4 linked regions of the Callithrix jacchus genome follow. The protein of the gene in region 3 binds, or shares a complex with, the protein of the main gene of each other region. Links are inferred from orthologs where the notes say so. Each region holds a gene or a part of one and is shown on either strand. Other genes may lie near its edges.

What was found.
Region 1: CHTOP (region 3) and THOC6 share a complex: the UniProt entries of both Homo sapiens proteins name them as parts of the transcription/export (TREX) complex. The link is inferred for Callithrix jacchus from reciprocal best matches to the Homo sapiens genes CHTOP and THOC6.
Region 2: CHTOP (region 3) and THOC7 share a complex: the UniProt entries of both Homo sapiens proteins name them as parts of the transcription/export (TREX) complex. The link is inferred for Callithrix jacchus from reciprocal best matches to the Homo sapiens genes CHTOP and THOC7.
Region 4: CHTOP (region 3) and SARNP share a complex: the UniProt entries of both Homo sapiens proteins name them as parts of the transcription/export (TREX) complex. The link is inferred for Callithrix jacchus from reciprocal best matches to the Homo sapiens genes CHTOP and SARNP.

Annotation. Positions count from the first base shown.
Region 1 is NC_133513.1:5,169,686-5,175,766, reverse strand, and holds THOC6 (THO complex subunit 6), read right to left. Parts: upstream 3,607-6,081; 5' UTR 3,325-3,606; coding exon 3,286-3,324; intron 2,301-3,285; exon of another isoform or gene 2,282-2,300; coding exon of another isoform or gene 2,243-2,281; intron 2,127-2,242; coding exon 2,011-2,126; intron 1,910-2,010; coding exon 1,845-1,909; intron 1,771-1,844; coding exon 1,667-1,770; intron 1,583-1,666; coding exon 1,545-1,582; intron 1,468-1,544; coding exon 1,419-1,467; intron 1,317-1,418; coding exon 1,245-1,316; intron 1,158-1,244; coding exon 1,055-1,157; intron 966-1,054; coding exon 916-965; intron 822-915; coding exon 759-821; intron 663-758; coding exon 552-662; intron 469-551; coding exon 334-468; intron 256-333; coding exon 175-255; 3' UTR 83-174; downstream 1-82. Other genes in the region: HCFC1R1 (host cell factor C1 regulator 1), read left to right, coding at 3,708-3,802, 4,118-4,174, 4,288-4,416, 4,649-4,784; TNFRSF12A (tumor necrosis factor receptor superfamily member 12A), read right to left, coding at 5,802-5,857, 5,939-6,073. UniProt on the Homo sapiens protein: Component of the THO subcomplex of the TREX complex which is thought to couple mRNA transcription, processing and nuclear export, and which specifically associates with spliced mRNA and not with unspliced pre-mRNA.
Region 2 is NC_133516.1:45,610,279-45,615,783, forward strand, and holds part of THOC7 (THO complex subunit 7), read right to left. Parts: intron 3,688-5,505; coding exon 3,570-3,687; intron 2,500-3,569; coding exon 2,372-2,499; intron 2,089-2,371; coding exon 2,002-2,088; intron 395-2,001; coding exon 337-394; intron 1-336. UniProt on the Homo sapiens protein: Component of the THO subcomplex of the TREX complex which is thought to couple mRNA transcription, processing and nuclear export, and which specifically associates with spliced mRNA and not with unspliced pre-mRNA.
Region 3 is NC_133519.1:14,062,280-14,066,466, reverse strand, and holds part of CHTOP (chromatin target of PRMT1 protein), read right to left. Parts: intron 3,126-4,187; coding exon 2,939-3,125; intron 2,136-2,938; coding exon 1,998-2,135; intron 256-1,997; coding exon 50-255; 3' UTR 1-49. UniProt on the Homo sapiens protein: Plays an important role in the ligand-dependent activation of estrogen receptor target genes. May play a role in the silencing of fetal globin genes.
Region 4 is NC_133510.1:63,833,273-63,839,562, reverse strand, and holds the start of SARNP (SAP domain-containing ribonucleoprotein), read right to left. Parts: upstream 3,970-6,290; 5' UTR 3,957-3,969; coding exon of another isoform or gene 3,921-3,956; intron 1,893-3,920; 5' UTR 1,847-1,892; coding exon of another isoform or gene 1,840-1,846; exon of another isoform or gene 1,813-1,839; intron 1-1,812. Other genes in the region: ORMDL2 (ORM1-like protein 2), read left to right, coding at 5,218-5,391, 5,560-5,711. UniProt on the Homo sapiens protein: Binds both single-stranded and double-stranded DNA with higher affinity for the single-stranded form. Specifically binds to scaffold/matrix attachment region DNA. Also binds single-stranded RNA. Enhances RNA unwinding activity of DDX39A.

The sequences.
Region 1 (6,081 bases), on a different chromosome or scaffold from region 3:
CTGGGTATTTATGTATCAAGATCGGAGAGAGTAATATGTAAATCACGCCACCTATTTGGCCTCCATTCGTGGAAAGAGCGAGTATGGAAGAAAAGCCTGAAACTTTATTGTTAAAAAAAAAAAGAAAAAGAAAAACATTCTAAAACCCTTGCTGGCTGGGGGTGTGGTCAGAGGTCAGAAAGACAGGGAGAAGGCTCGGTAGCCCAGGTTGGTGAAGACGTCCACCCGACAGCTGTTGCCTGCAGCTGTGAGGACCTGGAGGAGAGAGGGGCATGACTGGCCTGCCCATTCCCCTGCCTCCCAGCCGCCTGAGGCCCCTGCCACCAGACCCACCTTGCACTCGGGCGCGGCTGGCTGCTGGTTGAGGCTGAGGCTGAGCAGCCCTGGGGAGGAGCCAGGCACCTGGGCCTTCAGCTCCCCGCTCAGCTGCCACTGGTTGACACAGCGGCCCTGGCCCGCAGACAGAATCTGCAGAGGACAAGGAAGGTGCTCAGGGGTCAGGGCTGGAGGGGAGAGCCAATGGGGGTGGCAGACGAGACAGAGGGACTCACCAGGTCCTGGTAGAAGGTGACGTGCTTCTGTGGCGCCCGCATGGGGAAGATGGTGGTGGGTGTGGAGGATCGCAGGTGCCAGAGGGTGAGGGCTGGGCCCCCTCCACAGACCTGGACAGAAAGGTGGGAGTCCCCAGCTGTGAGCTACAGGCCGACAGCCGACAAGGCCCGAAGCTGCCAACCTGTCCCACAGTCTGCCCAGCTCACCATCCAGTCAGAATCAGTTGCCAAACATCCGATCCAGCGCCCATTGTGGGGCCTGGAGCACTCCTGGGAGGGGAAGGGGAGGAGGGAAAGAGGTGAAGTCCTAGAGGGTTAAAGGAGTTTCTGGGAAAGAGGACAATGGCCACGGTCACACCCTCACCTCGTGCTTATAGACCTCGATTGTCTGGACCTCCTTGGCTGTGCGCAAGTCTGCAGGGAAAGAACCCACCCTAAGTAGTGCCCCACGAGCCTCAGCCTCCCTCACTGCCATCTTGCCCTCCAGCCAGCCACCTCCTTACCCCAAAGTCGAACAGCTCCATCCTCACCACCCGACAGCACCTCTGGGCTCCTTTCTCTCAATGCCAGGCAATGGATGTAGTCTGTGTGGCCCCGGAGGACCCGCTGCAGTAGAGGGGCAATGTGAGGAGATCTAGGAAGAGTGCCTCTCCCTGGCCTGGACCTGCTCTAGGGCTCCAAGCCCCTGCTCACCGTGAAGGTCCCAGTTTCAAGGTCCATAGTGTGCAGCTGACAGTCTCCCCCAGCCAGGATGAGAGAATTCTCCTGTGAAGGAGGAGGGTGAGGCAGGAAGTCAGTGTCAAATCAGGAAAGGCAGAGAGTGAAGAATCAAAGTTTGGACCAACAACAGTCACATGGGGCTCAGACCTTGGGGACCAGCAGCAAAGCATTGATCTCAGGCACTTCCAGGCTGGTCCTGGGGGAGGAAAGTCAGGGTAAGTGAGGGAGTGCCTTCACCCCCATGCGCCCTCTATCCACGTGGCCCTGGCTCACCTGTATGGAGGCTGACGGCACCACAGCTCCTTACAGCCCTTCAAAAGGAAAAACATGAGGCGACCTCAAAGGCCCTTTTTGGGTCTGGGTACCCCAGCCCTTGCCCCAGCCTCACTCCTTACCTTCTTGAGCATCTCCACCCAAAGCCAGGCCTTCACCTCCCCATCCCCAGCACTGAGCAGATGTCGATCTGTGGAGACCATGCTGTAGACCGGCCCATCATGGGCTGAAGAGAAATCCGGAAGTAAGTCAGCCGATCCCACCCAAAGCCCCGAAGCCAGACTCCACAGCTAGACCCACCTTGGAAAGTCACCACCGGCTTCTTACTTTCCTCTTTGGCTTCCGAGCTCAAAGCAGCAGACAAGCTGCAGGGGACAATGGAGGGGACCCAGGAGTCAGAAACAGGGGCATCTGTCCCATGAAGACCAAGTGCCAGGGCTAATGGGTGGACGGCAGCAGAGGGTACCTAAAGATGGCGATCTGCCCATAATTGTTGCCAGCTGCCAGAAACTTCCCACACGGTGAGACGCTTTGGGAGAAGATGGTCATATGGAGCCGCTGCAAGGCCTGGAACACCTCTGCCTGCAAGGAAAGACTGGATGAGGCCTGCCTGGGACATCTGAAACCTCCCATCCACAGACTCCTCCCTGCTTCCCCGCTACACCTGCCAGGCCTCCCACTGTCCTGACTTCTCAGACCTCTTTTGCAGCAGCCAGCACCTGCCCATGCAGTCCCATAGGTGGCTCCAAGAAGACACTGAAGAAGGGGAGAGTTGAGGTGTGACGCCTCATGAACCTCTGAGCAAACACCCAAGCCTCTCCTACCAGCTTCCTCAACTTTCAAATGGAGCTCACAGGAGATTGTCACGATTAGATGAGCTAGTGTATAGACAGAGCTTTGCACAAAGCTGTCACTCAGTGCTTAAGCCAGGTGCCATGGCTCAAGCCTGTAATCCCAGCGATCTGGGAGGCTGAGGCGGGAGGATCGCTTGATGCCAGGAGTTCGAGAGCAGCCTGGGAAACATAGTGAGACTCTATCTCTACAAAAAAAAAAAAATTTAAAAATTTGGCCAGGCACGGTGGCTCACACCTGTAATCCCAGCACTTTGGGAGGCCAAGACAGGCAGATTACCTGAGGTCAGGAGTTTGAGACCAGCCTGGCCAACATGGTGAAATCCTGTCTTTACTAAAAACACAAAAATTAGCTGGCCGTGGTGGCACATGCCTGTAGGCCCAGCTACTCTGTAGGCTGAGGCAGGAGAATCGCTTGAACCTGGGAGGCACAAGTTGCAGTGAGCCGAGATCTCACCATTGCACCCCAGCCTGGGGACAGACTCGGTCTCAAAAAAAAAAAAAAAAAAAGTGTTTAAAAAGTGGTTCTGCTCGGCTGGGCGCGCTGGCTCACGCCTGTAATCCTAGCACCTTGGGAGGCAGAGGTGGGTGGATCACCTGAGGTCAGGAGTTCAAGACCAGCCCGATTTAAAAAAAAAAAAAAAAAAAAGTGGCTCTACTACCCCAACATAGAAAAACGTACTGACTTGTAATCCCTATTCTCTGACTTGCGTTAAGCCCCTGAGGCCTTATTGGTTACTTTCCCGCCCCACCCCCCGACCCGGTCATAATCTGAGTCCCACAAACAGCCCTAGCAAAACAGGGCTCGGGGCACTATTCCCTGCCCGCCCTGTCCAAGTCATGCATGGACTACAAACCCCAGAAGGCACCGCGCACCACGTCCGTCTCACCTGACCCAGAGGCACCGCGAGCGGCACAGCTCGCTCCATCTCCAGAACTACAAGTCCCAGAGTGCTCGCGCGCAACGCAATCTCACGATGCCGTACGTTCCTAGAGCGGTTACTCCTCGCGGCGCCCTGCCGCCTTCGGCGCGAAGGTGACTGCTGCGTACTGTACTGAACCCCAGGAGCCGAGGTGAGCACCACGAAAACCCCCGACACTAAGAAGTGACGCCCACCGCAGTTCCGCTAAGCCGATCCCTTCCCCCACCCCGAGGAACAGGCCCGCCTTCCGCCACGCGCCCCACGTCTTCCGCGCCCGCGCAGAACCTCGCAGCTGCGCACGCCTAAAGCCACACCCCTTCGCGTTGGGCCACGCCCTCAGAGACTCCGCCTCCGTCGCCCAGATCCCACCCGCAGGACCCCAAAACCCAATGATCCTGGAGCAGCCCTTGGAGCGAGGCCCGCAGGGTGGGGCCCAGCGCCTCCCGCGGGCCGCCTTGGGGGTGACTCGCGGCCTGGACGCTAGGTGCGTGTAGGGGACCAGGGTGGGCCTGACCAAGGGCCGCAGGAGCTTTGGCTGGGTGCTCAGGGCTGGTCTGCAGATGGACACGGTGTAGGGCGAATCGGCGGGGCTTAGGTGTAAACTGAGACCGGATTGGGTCTTCGGCTCAAGGTCGAGACTTTCGAGGTACGCTGCTGGATGGCCCAGAAGAGAGGGGACAAGCACCACCTGAGACAGGAATGGGCTTGGGGCTCCTGGCTGATGCTGCAGGCTCAGGCGGGCAGATCCTTGGGAAGGGGCCAAGAGGGTGGGGTGCACCAGGCTCTCTTTTTTTCCCAGCTCCCCTCTCCGAGGAGCTGTGCCCCTGAGCACCAAGCGGCGCCTGGAGGAGGAGCAGTGAGTTTGGGGGGCAGGGAGGGACTCCCAACAAGATCTCTGTCACCTCTGGTCCCCAACACGCTGTCTCCTGTCTCAGTTTCCCAGCCTCCCTCTCTTTCATCTCTCCCCAGGGAGCCTCTGCGCAAGCAGTTTTTGTCTGAGGAGAACATGGCCACCCATTTCTCTCAACTCAGCCTGCACAATGATCACCCCTACTGCAGCCCCCCTATGACCTTCCCCCCGGCCCTGCCCCCACTCAGGTAGGCTCCTCCACTGGCCAGGCTTTCTGCAGGATCACAGGCGGTTCTCAGAGCTGACCTCAGGCCCTGCCTCATCGTGCCATTTTTAGCTCTAGCTGACCTCTGGGTTGTTTCCCATCTTGGCTCTTTGGAAAGTGCTGAGAACCCGGGAGCCCCTGGGGACCTGGACCTGGTGGGAGGTGCTCAGTTAGGCCGCCTCAGCCCCCTTGCCGACTATCATTTCCTCTTCTAGGAGCTCTTGCTCTGAGCTGCTTCTCTGGCGATACCCTGGCAGCCTCATCCCTGAAGCCCTCCGGTTGCTGAGGCTGGGGGACATCCCCAGTCCCTCCTACCCTTCGACCCCAGCTGGGGACATAATGGAGCTCTGAGTGCTAGTGGACAGCGCCCCTCCCAGCTTCCTTCGTCCCCACAACAGAAGAGACCAGCGACTCCCGCAAAGGGACAAGGAGCCTCCCTCTCCTCCAGACCAGGCACCAAGACCTTCCCTCAACAGAGGACTCTGAGCCCAATGGAGCTCTGGGATGAGAGGGTGGGAGCATGGGCAGGGAGGCATCCCACCCCCAAGAACTGAATAAAGATTTCTGAGCAAAGAAAGGCTTCCAACTGGAACCTGGGGCTTTTGGGGATGGTGGAGAGGGCAGAGGTGCAGGATGCTGGGGTTTCTCCTCAAGATCTTCCCTGGAAAACTGTTAGGGCCAGCCAGGTCCTGGCCGGCTGAGTTCCAGGCATTGAGAATGTGTGAGTCAGAGCCTCACCCCCGCCCCCGTGGCTGGCTGACTCACTCCCTCCCTCCAGCTCAGGGGAGTCAGTCGGGGATCACTGCCTCTCCAAACCATTTAAAGTTAAAGATTCCTTTATTAATAAATTCTCCCTCCCCTCCGAACTCTCCCCAAAATAAATATCTCCTCCCCTCTTTAGGGAGTTGGGGGGGTCTGTATCTTAGGGCCAGCCCTCCTAGTGGGCCAGCCCCCTAGTGTTAAAAATAGGTCCCTAACCCCCCAGGCTGGTGACCCCTGTGGTGGAATTTCAGGACGTCTGAGTGAGTGGGGCCTAGTGTCTGTCGGTCCTCCAAGTCAGCCTAGCCCCCAGGGCCTCTAGGGAGGAGGACACCTCCTTGTGCAAATGCTGCAGTTCCTTAGTCAGTGTCAGCTGTTTGTGTGAGCCAGCTTAAGGCTCCCTTTCTGTTCTGAGGCCAGAAGCAGGGCAACCAGACACCTTGGAAGGCTCCCCTGAACCCTGCAGGAGCCCAGGCCTCAGAGGTGATTCACCACCCCCCACCCCCCTGTGGTTGGAGTGGCTCCTGCCACGTCTGGGAGGCTGAGACTGGCTCTAGATGGATGAATGAATGATGAGTAGGCGAGCCCCGGTTGGCAGGGGGCGCATTGTCACTGGATCAGGGCCACGGCCGGGCAGCCATCTCCACCGGTCTCCTCTATGGGGGCTGCAAGATAAGAGGTGGGGTCGTCAACGGCAGGGGAAAGGTCGTGTGATGATGCGGCTGGGGAGGCCGGGGCTCACTTACTGGTGAACTTCTCTCTCCTGCGGCATCGTCTCCAGACCAGGAAGCCAGAAAGCAGCCCCAGCACGAAGGTCAGGCTCAGAGCACCCCCCAGGATGGGCCAAAGCAGCCGGAAGGGGGTCGGAGGTGCCGCAGCACCTGGGGGC
Region 2 (5,505 bases), on a different chromosome or scaffold from region 3:
CGCCTCAGCCTCCCAAAATGCTGGTATCACAGGCGTGAGCCACCGCGCCCGGCCTAGTTTATTCTTTTTAACTGATATTTAATATTTTAATATATGAAGACCACATTTTATTTGTCCACTCTATTTGTCCATATTACATGCATTTATTTTAGACATATAGGTGGTAAGGTCAGAGGAAAATAAAATCTAACAGAGAAGTATTGGGAAATATAATATCGAAGACCTGAACCCTCCTTTTGAAACATATTTATTTCTGCAAAAATGAAATGCCTAGGGTAGTGTATCAGCATTTATGTATAAAGGTTAGTTCCTTTCAAAGTAAAGCTCTACACTTACTTTAATGTCTCATGCCTGTCTGGATGATGCTGGATCACTTTTGCCAAAGCATCATATTCTGAAAGACATAAAAATGTTTATCAAACTAAGGGCTTATCAAAACAAAATGTGTAATATCACAAGCCTCTCCTAACCACTTCCCTAGTACATCAAGAAATGAAATCATTGAAAGATGAGTATTGCCAGTTCTAGTTGACTGAGTTATAACTATAATGACACATAACATCAAAAGTGTTCTAAACAGGGATTTTAGCTCCCTAAACTTCAGCACTTTTTTTCCATTTATATGTTCTGGACAGAACATAAGAGGTCAGCATAAAAATAAGTGAACTTAAGTTATTACTGATTATCAAATAGACTGATTCTGAGAAGGATCTTACTCACTAGTTGTCCAAAAAAAAAAAGAAGAAAATCAGTGAATATATCCATCCATTAATTTGAGATGTTAGTCAACAGCAAATTACACTTCTCACTCATTCTAAAAGTTAAGATTTCAGAAACTTACAAATAACTTAAAATTCAAGTTCTACTTTCTGCTCCACTGAGACCTCCAAGATAAGTCATGTAACTCCTGTTAACCTTTCTTCTGAAGTGATGAATGACAAGATTTACTTAAAAGTCTCATTAACTAACAAAAACACTGCAAAATATTTTTAAATGACTTTAGAACTGATACTAAGTTGGTATATCTTACTGTAAATAGGGCACTAAAACTTCACCACACACATTTTAGACTGAAAAAATAAACTTTTAAAAAGAGGAAATTAATCTTCATCTTAACTAGTTAATTAAAAAGTACAATTCATTGTTTTAGAACTGATGCTATTAATTCAATAAAAGTATGATTTTTTTAAATACAATTTTTTTGAATTACAAAAGAATACATGTCCTGTGTAAAATAAAACAAAACAAAACCAGAGAAAACCTAAGCCATAAAAACCCACCACTTCAAAATAACCACTAACATTTTCTATTTTCTTCTAGTTTTTCCTATCAGTGTAACAGTTGTGATTATAAATTATGATTTTTATTTTTGCTTTTCTTCAATTTATATTATAGGAGTAGTGCCTCTAACATTAAAAATTATCTGGAAACAGCATTTAGGAACTACATAAGAACATACTCTAACTTAACAAGAGATTATAACAAAACTCAACTTTAACTTTCTTATTAGATATTCTAGATAGTCTATAAATATTTGCTTGCTTCATAGTTAATGAAAACTCACAGAGTTTAAATTCTTTTTCATTCATTTTTTGGAAAGTAGCTCTATTAAGCAAACAAACAAAAAAACCCAAATCATATATCTAGTGTATTTATGTAAATTGCCTCTGCTGATTAACTATTACATTATTTAGGCAAAAAGCTCCAAGATGGTAAAAATTTAATGCTTAAGAAATACTGGGAAAAGAAAAAAACAAAAGGAGAAAAACAGAAAAGAAATACTTGGATAATCAGTGTAATCCAGCAAAAACATTTTTTTCAACACAGACTTCTTTCTCTATTTTAAAGAATAACATAGTTTTAAAGAATTAAATTTGGATAATTTTTAAAAATCCAGGTTGATTCAGGCTGCTGAAGATTTTTCCTCACAACATTAAAAATTGCATGAAAATAGTAGTCAGTAATAAAGTATTTGCATATTAAATCCCTCAAAACTCTTACCTTGGCGATTTTTTCGTATTCGTTTTGCTTGAAGAATTTGCTTTTTGCACTCAGCAATTTTTTCATGTGCTCCAGCAATGCTACATTCTATATAAGAAGGTTTTAAAACTTAGTTGTAACAATATCAATAATCCATGTTCAATTTTAAAATGCATTTATAAATTAAATTCTATTGCTAACAAAATAGACACTAGTATTAAAGTACCATATATTAGAATGCATATTTTTGTAGCTAACATTTGCTGTATTCTTTCTATTAATACTGTAATTATTATTCTTTTACCACCAACCAAAGAAAATTGTTAGCAGATATTGTTTCCTTTATACCATACAAAATAAAATTACAGATAGAAACATTAATATTCTTTACCTATTTCCTTGTAAATTTTTTCATAATTTTCCATTTCTCTGAGATTCATATCATATACTAGTAAAGTTTTGCCCATTGAAAATTCACATTGAGACAGTGTGCTCAGCATACGCTGGTACTGGCTATATCTAATGAGAAAGAGAGAAAACCAAAATAAAGATGTTTGTAGACTGACAAAACTGAACTATTATAATGCAGGCAAATATTTGCTAATTAAATAAGTTCTTTGAGAGTCATTTGCTTATTTAAAATAATTCAGAATATCTGTTCCTTAAGTTTTCTTTTTATCAAATGTAGCACACCTGAATTTATAAACTAGTTACACATGCAAAGATGAGACTGTTGTTCTTATCAGTGTATGCTTTATTCAAATAATTATTTGCATTTTGTTTAAAATACATTATGAATTTTTTATCTTCACAATTCTGTCTCCAGAATTTACTCTATAAAATTATTTATGTGAAAAGCAAAGTTTACTATATATATATATATATATATATATATATATATATACACACACACACACACACACACAAATACATACATACAGTTGGGCATGGTAGCTCATGCCTGTAATTCTGGCATTTTAGGAAGTCAAGGTGGGCAGATTACTTGAAGCCAGGAGTTCAACATCAGCCTGGCCAACATGGTGAAATCCCATCTCTACTAAAAATACAAAAATTAGTCAGGCATGGTGGTGCATGCCTATAATCCCAGCAACTCGGGAGGCTGAGGCACTTGTACTGCTTGAACCTGAGAGGCAGAGGTTGCAGTGAGCTGAGACTGCACAATGGCACTCCAGCCTCAGCAATAGAATGAGACTCTGCGTCAAAAAAAAAAAAGATTTTGTGTGTGTGTGTGTGTATGTATCAAGTTGGTGCAAAACTTAAAGATATTGGCAAAAACCATGATTACTTTTGTGCCAACTTACTACATACATATACTTATTAAACACTTATATCCTAATGGGTCTGAATTTAATCTTCATTTCTCCTTACCAATCTGCCTTCTCTATGTTTATTAAACATATGGGAGGCCTCTGAAGAAAAGAAAAGGCCAAGAAAATCTACTCTTAATTAAGAGTTGACTCCACTGGACATTTAAGGTGAATAAAAATTTGATCTATTCACAGGACCTTAATGTATGGTCTAAAATCACATTAGGACATGGGTATAGAAACAACAGTGAAATAAAATACCCTTCTTCCTGGGACCCAGAGTTGCACCATTTAATGAAACTCTTCACTAGCAGATTAATTCTCCGATCATCTCCAGCACCATCTCCATCAATGAGGAGACGCTTCCGTATGACTTCGTCTGCAGGAAAGAAGAGCAATGCTACCATCTGGCTCTTGGTAACTTTCAAATACAAATAACCAATATCACTGTTCAATTGTTTATTCAAAAGAAAATTATTGAAATGCAAATGTATTTAATGCCACTGAACTGTACACTTAAAAATGGCTAGCTAAAATGGTAAATTTTATGTTATGCATGTTTTATATTGCATATAATAAAAATATTTATATAGTAATGGAAAAAAACGTTATTGCATGACTACCGTGTGTCAGGTACTGTTCTAGGGGCTGAAATAATAGCAGTGAAAAGACATCCTTACAGAGTTGGCAGTCTACTGGGTTGTTGAGTGGAAATAATTTTCAGATACAATCAAGGAAATAAGCCAATAATTCTTAGAAAACTTTTGTGAAACAATTTGCCCAGACAGACAGAAATCCAAATATTTATGTCTCTGGCCAGTGAAAGGCACTGATAAAATGAATAGACAAGAAATATTTAAAAGATGTAGTGGCAAACTAGGAAAAAAGAATAGGTCAGGGAAAAAGGAATGAATTTGTTAAATAAACATATAATTTAAGGCTGGGTGTGGTGGCTCATGCCTGTAACCTCAACAGTTTGGGAGGCTGAGGTAGGAGTATCACTTGAGCCAAGGAGTTCCAGACCAGCCTTAGCAACACAGTAAGACTCTGACTCTACAAAAAACAAAAATCAGCTGGATGTGGTGGCACGTGCCTATTAGGCCCAGTAACTTGGGAGGTTGAGGAAGGAGGATCACTTGAGCCTAGGAGATCAAGGCTGCAGTGAGGCATGATCTCACCACTGCACTCCAGCGCCTATAGGCAACAAAGCAAGATGCTGTTTCCAAAACAAATACTATATATATCATATATTATAAATATATAAACATATTATATATTTATATTATAATTTACAAATATTTATATTATTTTATATATAACATATATTATTTACTATATAATACATTATTTATATAATATATTATTTATACAAATATAAATATGTATAATATAATGCATATTATATATAATACATACATATTATATACATGTATTATATATATACATATTATATACATATGTATGTATTACATATATATTTAGTTATCTGTAAGGTTTCTTTCCCCATGAGAATTTTTTTTAAACAATACTTTTGCCCCAAGGAAAAGAAAAAAAAAAAAGCAGTGTAGATGACAATGATGACCAACAAGTGAGGTCCCAATCTATCTGCCTGGCAGTCCTGAGCTAGTGTTCTTACCCAGACGAAATAATCCTGGATCATAACAAGAGCAAGGCAAATTAAAACCACAGTAAAATATAATTTTTCACCTAATAGATAAGCAAAAATCAAAACATCTGATAAAACTGTTGGGAAAGGTGTTAGAAAACTGCACTTTTTTTTTTTAAAACAGTCTTACTCTGTCGCCCAGGGTAGAGTGGCTCAGGGTAGAGTGCAGTGGCACGATCTCAGCTCACTGCTACTACTACCTCTTGGGTTCAAGCAATTCTCCGGCCTCAGCCTCCCCAGTAGCTGGAACTACAGGCGCCTGACACCATGCCCAACTAAGTTTTGTATTTTTAGTAGAGATGGGGTTTTACCATATTGGCCAGGCTGGTCTTGAACTCCTGACCTTGCAATCTGCCCACCTCAGCCTCCCCAAGTGCTGGGATTACAAGTGTGAGCTACCGTGCCCAGCCAGAAAACTGTACTTTTATATACTGGTAAAATATAAACTGGTAATTCTTTGTAGGGCCACTGAACAGTAACAAAATTAAAAACGCACATATCTTCCTGACCCTTAATTCCAATTCTAGAAAT
Region 3 (4,187 bases):
TACAGACGTGTGGACTAACAAGAGTCTCTCATGGCAGGGTGGGCAGGCTTCAATCATTGGTTTCGGGATCTGTCTGCGCCATGTAGGCATCCAACTCAGCATCCAGGTGTCCTTTTGTTTTCGACATGTATGCATCCAATTGGTTGTCCAGCTGCTCCTTGGTCAATACAGGGCGAGCAAGGGCACCTCTCCCTCGTCCACGGCCTCGGCCTCGGCCTCCAAAGCCCCCTCTTCCCCGACCTATCATACCCCGACCTGGCCCAAAGGAGAAAAAAAAAAAAAAAAAGAGAGACAGTTACAAATAAGTTTAATAGGTGCTATAGTAAATGCCCCTTAGAGTTGCAGGGCCTAGCTGAGAAAAGCTGAAGGGCAGGGAAAGAGGAGAAATGTGGAAAACAGGAAAGACACTGGGTAGAAAGCCACACATGGAAAGCACACATAATGAATCCCTTGTCACAGGATCATCTCTAAATGCTATTTGAACAATTATTATTCTATCAAAAAAGGAAAGTAATTAACTGACAACTATAGTTAAAAAAGAAAACCTTAACTGAACCTAAGATTTGAGATTCACTAAGTTTATAATTAAAATACATAACCTTGTTTAGTAAGATAGGCAGGTGGTAACAAGGGTACAGATAATCAGGGTGTAAAGTAAGATGGTTTTCAAATTAAGTTTATCAGAAACCCTTCTGGAACGTTATCTCATCTTTCTTTAAACTTATCAAGTCTAATAAGCTAGTTGACCTCATGTGTCAGGAGACTGGAGTTTTTCTCACAGAGGAACAATGGAAGGGACTTGAAAAAATATTTTGCAGTAGTGGGATCACGCCTGTGAATAGCCACTGCACTCCAGCCTGGGCAACATGCGAAACTGCGTCTCAAAAAAAAAAAGAAAGAAAAAATATAAGAAAAAAAAATATTTTGAGTTGCCCCAGCTATTTCTACCTCTAATTCTAGTTACCTTATGACAACGGACAATTTTGTTTATCTGAGAAGTAGTTTGAATTCACTTAGCAAACATGCTATTTTATCCTGAAACGCAAACTAGCTTGTACTTCATTCAATAAGCCAAGTAGCATATAACAGGAGAGAAGAAAACAAGCCCTTGGTTATCAGCTTTTCTTTCCTAACAGTTATTATTCCTTGGCAATTTCAAGGTCATTAGTTATGGAAGACCTGCAACACCTTTTAAGAGAACCAAAGCAAATATACACAGGAGCAACAAGAGTGTTTTTTTTTCCTTGACAGGTGTGGTTGGGAGTTTCCCACTGAGCTCTAAACCAGAGGGCTCCCATGAGGTGTTGTTGGGAGTTTCCCACTGAGCTCTAGACCAGAGCGCTCCCATGAGATTTAGTATTAGTAGCAACACCATTAAACTCTTTCCTAATCTGGGTCACGGTCATGAGACAAACATAATAAATTTCAAAGGCAAGATGAACAAGAGCCAGTGTTAACTGATAATAATTCCATCTTGCTCTCTACCTTAAGCAAAAAAAGTCATCTCTGGTTCTCCACAGGCACAAATTTGACACTGAATTTATCTGGTTTCAGAGCAAATGCCCAGCTCCAAGTCTCACCACCCTCTTAACTCTGCTCCATCTTTGTATCTCTCTCTCTTCTATATTCTCATGTGACTCAAACCAGGATTTGGAGCTACAGGGTAGTGTGTGGTGGTGGGGCTGAGACAGGAAGGTAAAATCCTAAACTGACCATTTTAGGGGGTATTTTTAACTGTACAATTTAAATTTGCAAGAACCAGGAAGAAGACAGCATATAATCTGGCTCTGTAATATGCACTTGATTGATTCCTGGAAAAATCATGAGACTTTTGCACTACCAGCATGGGAATTTGAAAAATAAGCCAGTTTCAAATAACAAAACAAGACAAACAAAGAAGCCTGCCTATGACTTGAAGCTGTGCAAAAAGGTGGCTCTGAGTTTTTAAGGGAGGAAAATAAGAGGGAGCTACTCTCTGAAGTTGGTAGCTGACTAACCTCTACCACCGATTCCGCCACGACCCATAGCTCCACGCCCTAGGCCCCCTCTCCCAGGACCTCCACGACCTCGAACACCACCTCTTCTTAAGCCCATTCGGGGAGCTACGGCTCGTCCACCTCGGAGCAGGTTTTGACCTTGGAGAGGAGGCATACAATGTATATGCAGGTAAATCCAAGAGACACAAAGTAGATTCTAACCAAAGGTAGGAGGTGAGGGTTAAATGAGGGTAATTCAGTTAGTTTTTAGGTTGGTTGGGGCAAGCTGCATACTGAGTGTGAACAGGTTAAGCTGCTCTTTATCCAATCAATTCAACACATCTGACCACAAATCCATTTTTGGAAGAAGTTGGGAATTATTTCAATTAATAAGTACATATATTCAATAAATATCTACTAAACAATCAGATGTCTAGCATTGTGGTAAATTTAAAAATAAATGCTATGGTTCCTGATCTCAACACATTCTTCTAGGGAGCAAGAACTATACAGGGAACAGAGTAAGAGTGCCCCAAATAAACATATACAGGTAAGTGCTATGGGTCAACTTGTCCTCTTTTTCCAGCTGTATCAGTGTTTTACTAGCACCAGGAACAAAGAGTGAAGACATAGGCCAAAAGACCTAAGTTTCTTACATTTGACTTATTTCTATTACTTGAATGTGGTTTGATTCAAGCAGCAGCAGGGTGTTTCAAAATGGAATGGAGATGACATGAATTACCTGTTGTTACGCAGGTCATAGCCTCTCACCATTGCACATTATCAGAAAAGGAATGGTATCGATAAAAGACATGCAGCACTATTAAAAATATGTGATTTCAAAAGTTATTATAGTCATACAAATTCAGGCTTAAAGATGTTAAACGAACGTGTCCATAAGCAGCCCAAGAGAAAAGGGAAGGGAGTAGGGCCTGACAATTATCAGGGTACACAGCACTGACCTCGGAGCGACATCCCGCCCCTAAGCAGGGTTCTGGTGGCACGTCCCCCACGTAGTCCTCCTCTGGGCAAGCCTCTCTGGATTATGGGTAGGCCTCGTCCTCCGATTGCTCCCCTGGCCAGGGCCCCTATGGGTCGGCCTAACCGTGCCTGGATGTTACTCTTACCCAGGCGCTGCTTTAAGCTCTTCTGGAAGAAAAGGTGTTAGGGGATTGAGATCAAAAAAGCAATCCAACAGGATCTAGCAACTCAAAGTGCAGAGAGAAAGCAGCAAGTGAGATGCTGGTGTGAAGGGAGATAAACCTGCTGTGGTGTCATAAGGACCCCAAACCAGAAGCAAGCCTTTGCCTCGGAACATGTTAGACAAGAAGCAGAATTTTGATCCAGAGCTGAAACTTCAAAAAGCTCAAGTGTGGTCTCATGAAATGGACATCTCCACAAATTACCTCACTAGTCTGGCTACAGAAGTCATACACTGCCAGTTCAAAGTTTTAGTAAGAACATTTCTATAGTTCAATCTGGATTGTACTGCTTTTGAACTACAGGCTGACAATGATACGACTTGATTCATACCTGCCCACCAACTAGCACTGTCTTCAAAGGCTTACTCAAACACCAAAGGAAGAGTTCATCACACTCTGGGCAAAACTTAAACGACAAGTTTACTTGAGTTCTTGTGACTTAAGAACAAGATTGATTTCTCAAAGAGGCCCGTGTGCTCCGTTTTTCCTCTGAGAATCTATCTCCAGACGGTCCACTTTTTACCTTAAGATGTAAATAAACACAAGAAAGTCAAATCTCCTTTCGTTTCTTAGAAATCCTTAATTCCAAGCCTGCCCTTGCAAACAGCTCCTTTAAAATAGTATGATGACCTTAAATTCAAAATAAACATGTAAATCAAATGTATCTCCACAGAGTGCCAGCCAAACTTGTCAGAATTATTCAGATGAGCTGTAATCACAAAACTCAGGGCCATGTATGAGGACAGGGACACACTCCAGAGACAGAGTATTTTAAAGAATTTTTTCTCAAAAGAAAATCATTAAGACTACATCTCAGAGAATTAAATTCCTTCAAAGGAAAAAGGAACAGCAATAGCCCTGAACAAAACCAAGGTCCTAGCAAACCTGATTATCCATAAAGCCATCAGTCAATATAAAAGAAAATAAATTCTACGGTCCCTTCAGTCTCGAGCCATAAGTGACTACCAAGGTGTATGTGTGTGTTTTCTTTTTTTCTTTGAGATGGAGT
Region 4 (6,290 bases), on a different chromosome or scaffold from region 3:
TGATCAGGACGGTCTCGATCTGATGACCTCGTGATCCACCCACCTCGGCCTCCCAAAGTGCCGGGATTACAGGCGTGAGCCACTGCACCCGGCCCCTAAGTTCCTCCTTTCAAACTTCCAAAGGGTCCCAGCCCTACTTATCATTACATGACAAGGGTCAGAAATCCTTACACAACTTAGAAAGCCCTTTTCAATACCACTCTGATTTACCTTTATGGTTAGTTTACCTATTTTCCTTTCCAAACTATCTTCAACTACCAACATATTTACTCATTTTACTATTCAATACAAATGTCTCACTGTTTTCAGCACTCTGACATTACTACAGCTCTCCTCCCCTCTTCAATACTTTTTTTTTTCTGATATTTGACTGGAAATCTGATACTGTTACAGTTCAAGGCATTTTCACCCACAGTTCAATCTCTCTTTCCAATTGTGTTAGAATGGGCCAGGCACAGTGGCTCACACCTATAATCCAGAGGTCAGGAGTTTGAGACCAGCCGGGCCAACAACATGGTGAAACCCCATCTCTATTAAAAATACAAAAATTAGCTTGGCATGGAGGCACATGCCTATAATCCCAGCTACTAGGGAGGCTGAGGCACTAAACTTGGGAGGTGGAGGTTACAGTGAGCTGAGATCAAGCTACTGCACTCCAGCCTGGGCGACAGAGCAGGGCTCCATCTCAATTAAAAAAAAAGACTGGGTTTCTACAAAATTCTCAGGAATTTGCTGCTAAAATGATGTCATGTATCAATTCAGATACATGATACTATGTTTCCTTCCTACTTCAAAGCATATTCCATTCCTCTGAGGTTCCATACCAAAGCCCAAAATTCTCTTAATGACAATGGACAGATTTTTTTTCTTTTTCTTCTTTTTTTTTTGAGACAAGGTCTCCTTCTGTCACCCAGGCTGATGTGCAGCGGAGCAATCATCACACAGCTCACTGCAGCCTCAACCTCCCAGGTTCAAGTGATCCTCCCACCTTAGCTTTGCAAGGAGCTGGGACTACAGGTGTGCACCACTATGCCCAGCTAATTTTTTAATCTTTTGCAGAGACAGGGTCGCACTATTGTTACCTAAGCTAGTCTCGAACTCCTGGCCTCAGCCTCCCAAAATGTTGGGATGACAGGTGTCAGTCACTGCTCTGAAACTACAAGTGTGCGCCACCATGCCCAGCTAATTTTTTAATATTTTGTAGAGACAGGGTCTCACTATGTTGCCTAAGCTAGTCTCAAACTCCTGGCCTCAGCCTCCCAAAGTGCTGGGATTACAAGTATGGATCACTGCACCCAGCCAAGATTTTTTTTTAAAGGCAATAAAACCTCAAGTCAACCTAGAAGTCAGGATCATTACATCAAGATCACCAGTGGAACCAAACATAAACGTCCTAAATATCAGAATCAAAGGCATGAGTTCTTTTTTTCTTTTTGAGACAGAGTCTCACTGTCCGCCAGGCTGGAGAGCAGTGGCACAATCCAGGCTCATTGCAACCTCCACCCCGGGGCTCATGCGATTCTTGTGCCTCAGCCTTCCCAGTAGCTGGAACTACAGACACGCACTACCATGCCTGGCTAATTTTTGCATTTTGAGTAGAGGTGGGGTTTCGCCATGTTGCCCAGGCTGGTCTCCAACTCCTGGCCTCAAGCAATCCACCCATCTCAGTCTCCCAAAGTGCTAGGATTATAGGCATGAGCCACCATGCCTGGTCGAAGGCATGAGTTCTTAACCAGAGGTCCATGGACTCCTCAGGGCTACAAGGTAGTTTTATGAAGCCCCTCAAACTGCATGCAAAGTACGTGTACATGCCTTTTTCTGGCGAGAGAGGGTCCATACCTTTCATCAGAGTTTCAAAGATATCTGTGACCTCCAAAAGGTTAAGAAGTGCTCTAGAGAAAAAGCAAAGACAAGCAAATGTGATTAAAGAGTGAGTCCTTTTTAGGCTGTCAGGAGTGCCTAATGTTTTCTTAGACTGCAACACTGAAATCAGGTCAGAGGACTTTATGTAAAAGTTACTTATCCAGTCAAATACAAGTTTAATATAGATCTGACAAACACAGATTTGATGGAAGGAGGAACTCCATAAACAAACACAATTATAAAAACAAGTAAGTCATGGGGCAGCTGGTGACTTACTCCAGGGATTTCAAAAATAGGATAAATAGTGTGGTGGCTCATGCCTGTAATCCCAGAACTTCGGGAGGCCAAGGTGGGCATATCACAAGGTCAGGAGTTCGACACCAGCCTGGCCAATATGGTGAAACCCCATCTCACTAAAAATATAAAAATTAGCCAGGCATAGTAGCACATGCCTGTAGTCCCAGCCGCTCAGGAGGCTGAGGCAGGAGAATCGCTTGAACCTGGGAGGTGGAGGGAGCAGTGAGCTGAGACTCCACCACTGCACTCTCCAGCCTGGGCTACACAGTGAGACTTTGTCTCAAAAAAAAAAAAAAAAAAAAGACAAATAGAAAGAAAATATTAAGTCTTCTATGCATAGTTCCTTTTTGTCTCATTCAAAAATTCCTTTTCTATGTTTTATAATGGTACAGAAGCATACAATTTCTATAAGTACAGTATATATACACCAAGTGGAGATTATTGCTCAATTTTTCTTTTACTCATCACAATAATTATCAGGAAACCACTGATAGTCTATGCATTTCAGTACCACCAAGTTAACAATAACTTGAGAATAACACAAAAACCCACTAAACAGAGTTTAGAATCCAAGAGTAAGAAAAATATCAGCTTTCACAGAAAGACTAATAGGGGTCAACTAATAAGTGACTAAACAAAGGTCCTCTCCCTACCCTTAAGCTTTCTTAACAACAAAAACAAACAAAAAAACACTTCAAGCTTTAAAGGATCACTTTTCAGTTTCAGCTGTATCAGCCTGGTTTGTCCAAAACATCCAATAGGAAATCTACCTGTGAAACCACAGAGAATTAATCAAGATTAGTTTACCCTAAAAGAAAATACTCTTTGAAATTTTCTTTTTAATATATTTTTTAACTTTTTTATCTCTCTTAGTTGTTTGCAATCTACCTTAAATAAATACTCTCTCTTTCAGGAAAATAATAATCCAAGTATGAGAAAACTACCAAGATTCTCATAAGACAATTTAAAATAGCTTCTGTGATTCAGTGTCACCCAATGGTAAAACACCAGGAGATGCAGAGCCCATTGAGATATGAAATGGAACAGAGATAATCTTAACCTTGGAACTGTTTTTCCCAAATACTGCAGGTATGAATTCTCTCTGGTGGTAGGAGACGGTGTGTGAGGAAGGCTGGCAAGTGGAGAACCGCGTGAGAGAACTGGAAAACTTTTAAATCTGAGGTGTCTGTACTTCTATCTCAAGGCCTCCTCAACCCCAGGCTTCTAAGGTGAGGCCTTTCCCTGGTTTCAAAATTCTCCCTGGTGGCGTAATCCCACCTAGAAAAGGGGAGTGTCTGGGATCTATTCAAATAGCGACACACAAAAATGCCACCATCTGCTAATATAATAGGCGAGTCTCAGCTTCAGAAGACAGACTGGAAACATAATTCCAGGGAAGAAAAAGGGATCCTGGGTCCGACGTGGGGCAAAGAGGAGGGACCAACTGACGTAATGCAGACCAGAAGAGCAACGAGGAGTATAACAGGTAGAAGGCACTTACAACCTGGTGGACAAGGGTGACGGACGATACAAGGATGAAGGGAACAGAAATAACAAAAAAATATAGCAGTAAAACCGTGAGGAGAAATGGAAAATTAGGGAAGGCGTAGTGTGGAAGGGTGGCACAAAAGAGCTACGGCGGGAGCCAAGAAACAAAGTAGAAAAGGCTGCAAGGAGAACACGTAGGAGAAGACGCAAGTCACTGTGCAGAATTCAGTTCCCAGAAAAGTCCAACTGAGCCCTTCCCCGATTTACGGTACCTTCAGCTTATGGAGCTCCACCGTCTCGGTCGCCATCTTGTTACCCCTCACTCCGCTAAGCCCCCACCCGCTGCCTCCGCCTCCAGGAGCTCCCGCCTTAGGCGTAGAGATGCAAGGCTGACCAATCGTTGCCACTCTTGCTCCCACTACATACCATCAGCTCTTCCCATTGGTCAATAGCTGACGTCCCTCATGTCTCTCGGCAGCTTTCCCCACCTCTTTCAAAAGGGGGGACAGAGAGAGGGGCGGGCACTTATCTTACGAACGACAGAAATGGCAACCAATTGTGCGTCTGCATCACATATCACCAACCGCTGATTATGTTCCTCCAATAGGGAAGGGGCAGACGGAGAGGAGTCACTTCCTGGAGACTTCAGATGTGGTAGCCGGCGCCTCGCCCATAAGCAGACAGGGATCTGAAGCTGGCAGGTAGGGGCCGCGAGGACTAGAAAGGTTGCTAAGGAAATATGGTGGGAGGCGAAAGGGGCGCCGAGGAAGCGGTGACTTAAATGCTGAGAAACGAATGCTGAAGGGAGCCCTGAAAAAAACCGACGAACATGAGAGGAGGAAGCTGGGAGGGAATGGGGCGGGCTTAAGGAACTGGCGGGTGGCTGGGGCGGGCAAGAGCCGCTTCCTAACCAGACATCATCAGCTTTAGAGCTACCACAATTTTAAAGATCCGAGTTCAGTTGATCACTGCCGCCCCTGGAGTCAGAGCTAAGGCTCCATCTCTCGAAACGTTGAGCTCAGGTTCCTTCCTAACCCAGTCCAGAAGGCGTGGGCAAGTTGTTGTCGTGCCCCACGCTTGAGAGAAGCAGTGGGGATGCTGACTGCTGACATGCCACGGAGGTGAGACAGGGTGGACAAGCCCCAGAGAACAGGTTGGGACTAGAGCTTTACTCTGTCATCCCTTCTTAGTGGTTCTTTGATGATTCCATGACTTTCTCCTGGAATTCTGGGTGTGCGTGACCTCTTCATGGTTAACTTCTTCAGGAAAGTGAGATTTCCTGTTTCCCTTGCTCCCTGAAGTGAGTGCCCCAAGCCTACGCATACACCTTCATGTTACAGTTGAAACGTAAAGATCAGTGAGAAAATGACTATGTCTCTAAAATGTAGTGAGGATTCTTCTTGCCTTTTAAAGTTTTCCCCAAGTCTTCAGTTTTTATTTTCTGCGTGATGGGGAAGTTCTTCATTCCCAATAGAGTTCAGGGAATCTGAGAGACAGCTGGGAGAAAGCTCGAAGAGGGGCTGAGAAAAAAATGAGTTGGACCCTACCTGATCCCCCATTATGACTAGGATGAATGTGGGGGTGGCACACAGCGAAGTAAACCCCAACACTCGAGTGATGAATAGCCGAGGCATCTGGCTGGCCTACGTCATCTTGGTAGGACTGCTACATATGGTTCTACTCAGCATCCCTTTCTTCAGCATTCCTGTTGTCTGGACCCTGACCAACGTCATCCACAACCTGGTGAGCAGTAAACCATGCCCTTGTGCCCATCCCAGAGTTTCCCAACCACAAGCAAAATAAAATTACTAATTGTTTGGGGATTTGTATCTTCCTTTTGGGATCTTAACATCATTCTTGGACTGAAGAACTACTTTCTGCCCCTCACACTACCACCCTCCATGTTCCCAGGCTATGTATATCTTCCTTCATACGGTGAAAGGGACACCCTTTGAGACTCCTGACCAAGGAAAGGCTCGGCTACTGACACACTGGGAACAAATGGACTATGGGCTCCAGTTTACCTCTTCTCGCAAGTTCCTGAGCATCTCTCCTATTGTGCTGTGAGTCTATGAGGGAAATGGGGATATGCTGGGTTAGAAAGAGTTCCAAGAGCCAGGCAGAAAGGCCCATAGGGAAGCTGTTAAAAAGCAGGCTACCCATCTAAAACCCTTTGAAGATATTATGATATACTAGTTCTAAGCCTACAGAGAGCAATAAAATGTAGAAGACAATACTGTAATCAAGCATTCCTTACTGCCTCCTTGGTAGTAAGGAAATGAAGGGACTAAGATAAGAGCCAAGTAAAACCAAATGATTTTACACTGCCAAAAGAAGCAAATAAAGGCAGAACTGATATTAATCTTCAAAAACACTGTAGGGAGTGGAAGCAAAGAAGACTCTTAACAGTCACACAGACTGAACTAGCCTCAGCTGTCATTTGCCATGTCATTAACAATGAACAGAAACTGACTTATAGTCTCCAGTTAAAGGTACTATGAACCCCAGAGTAAACGCTATTGATATAGCTGGAATATTTTTAAGATAATTTAGGACTACATACAATAAAACTGGTCATTTTAAATAGAAGAGAAAGAACAGGGCACTGCAGTGCATGCCTGGAGTCCCAACTACTTAGGAGG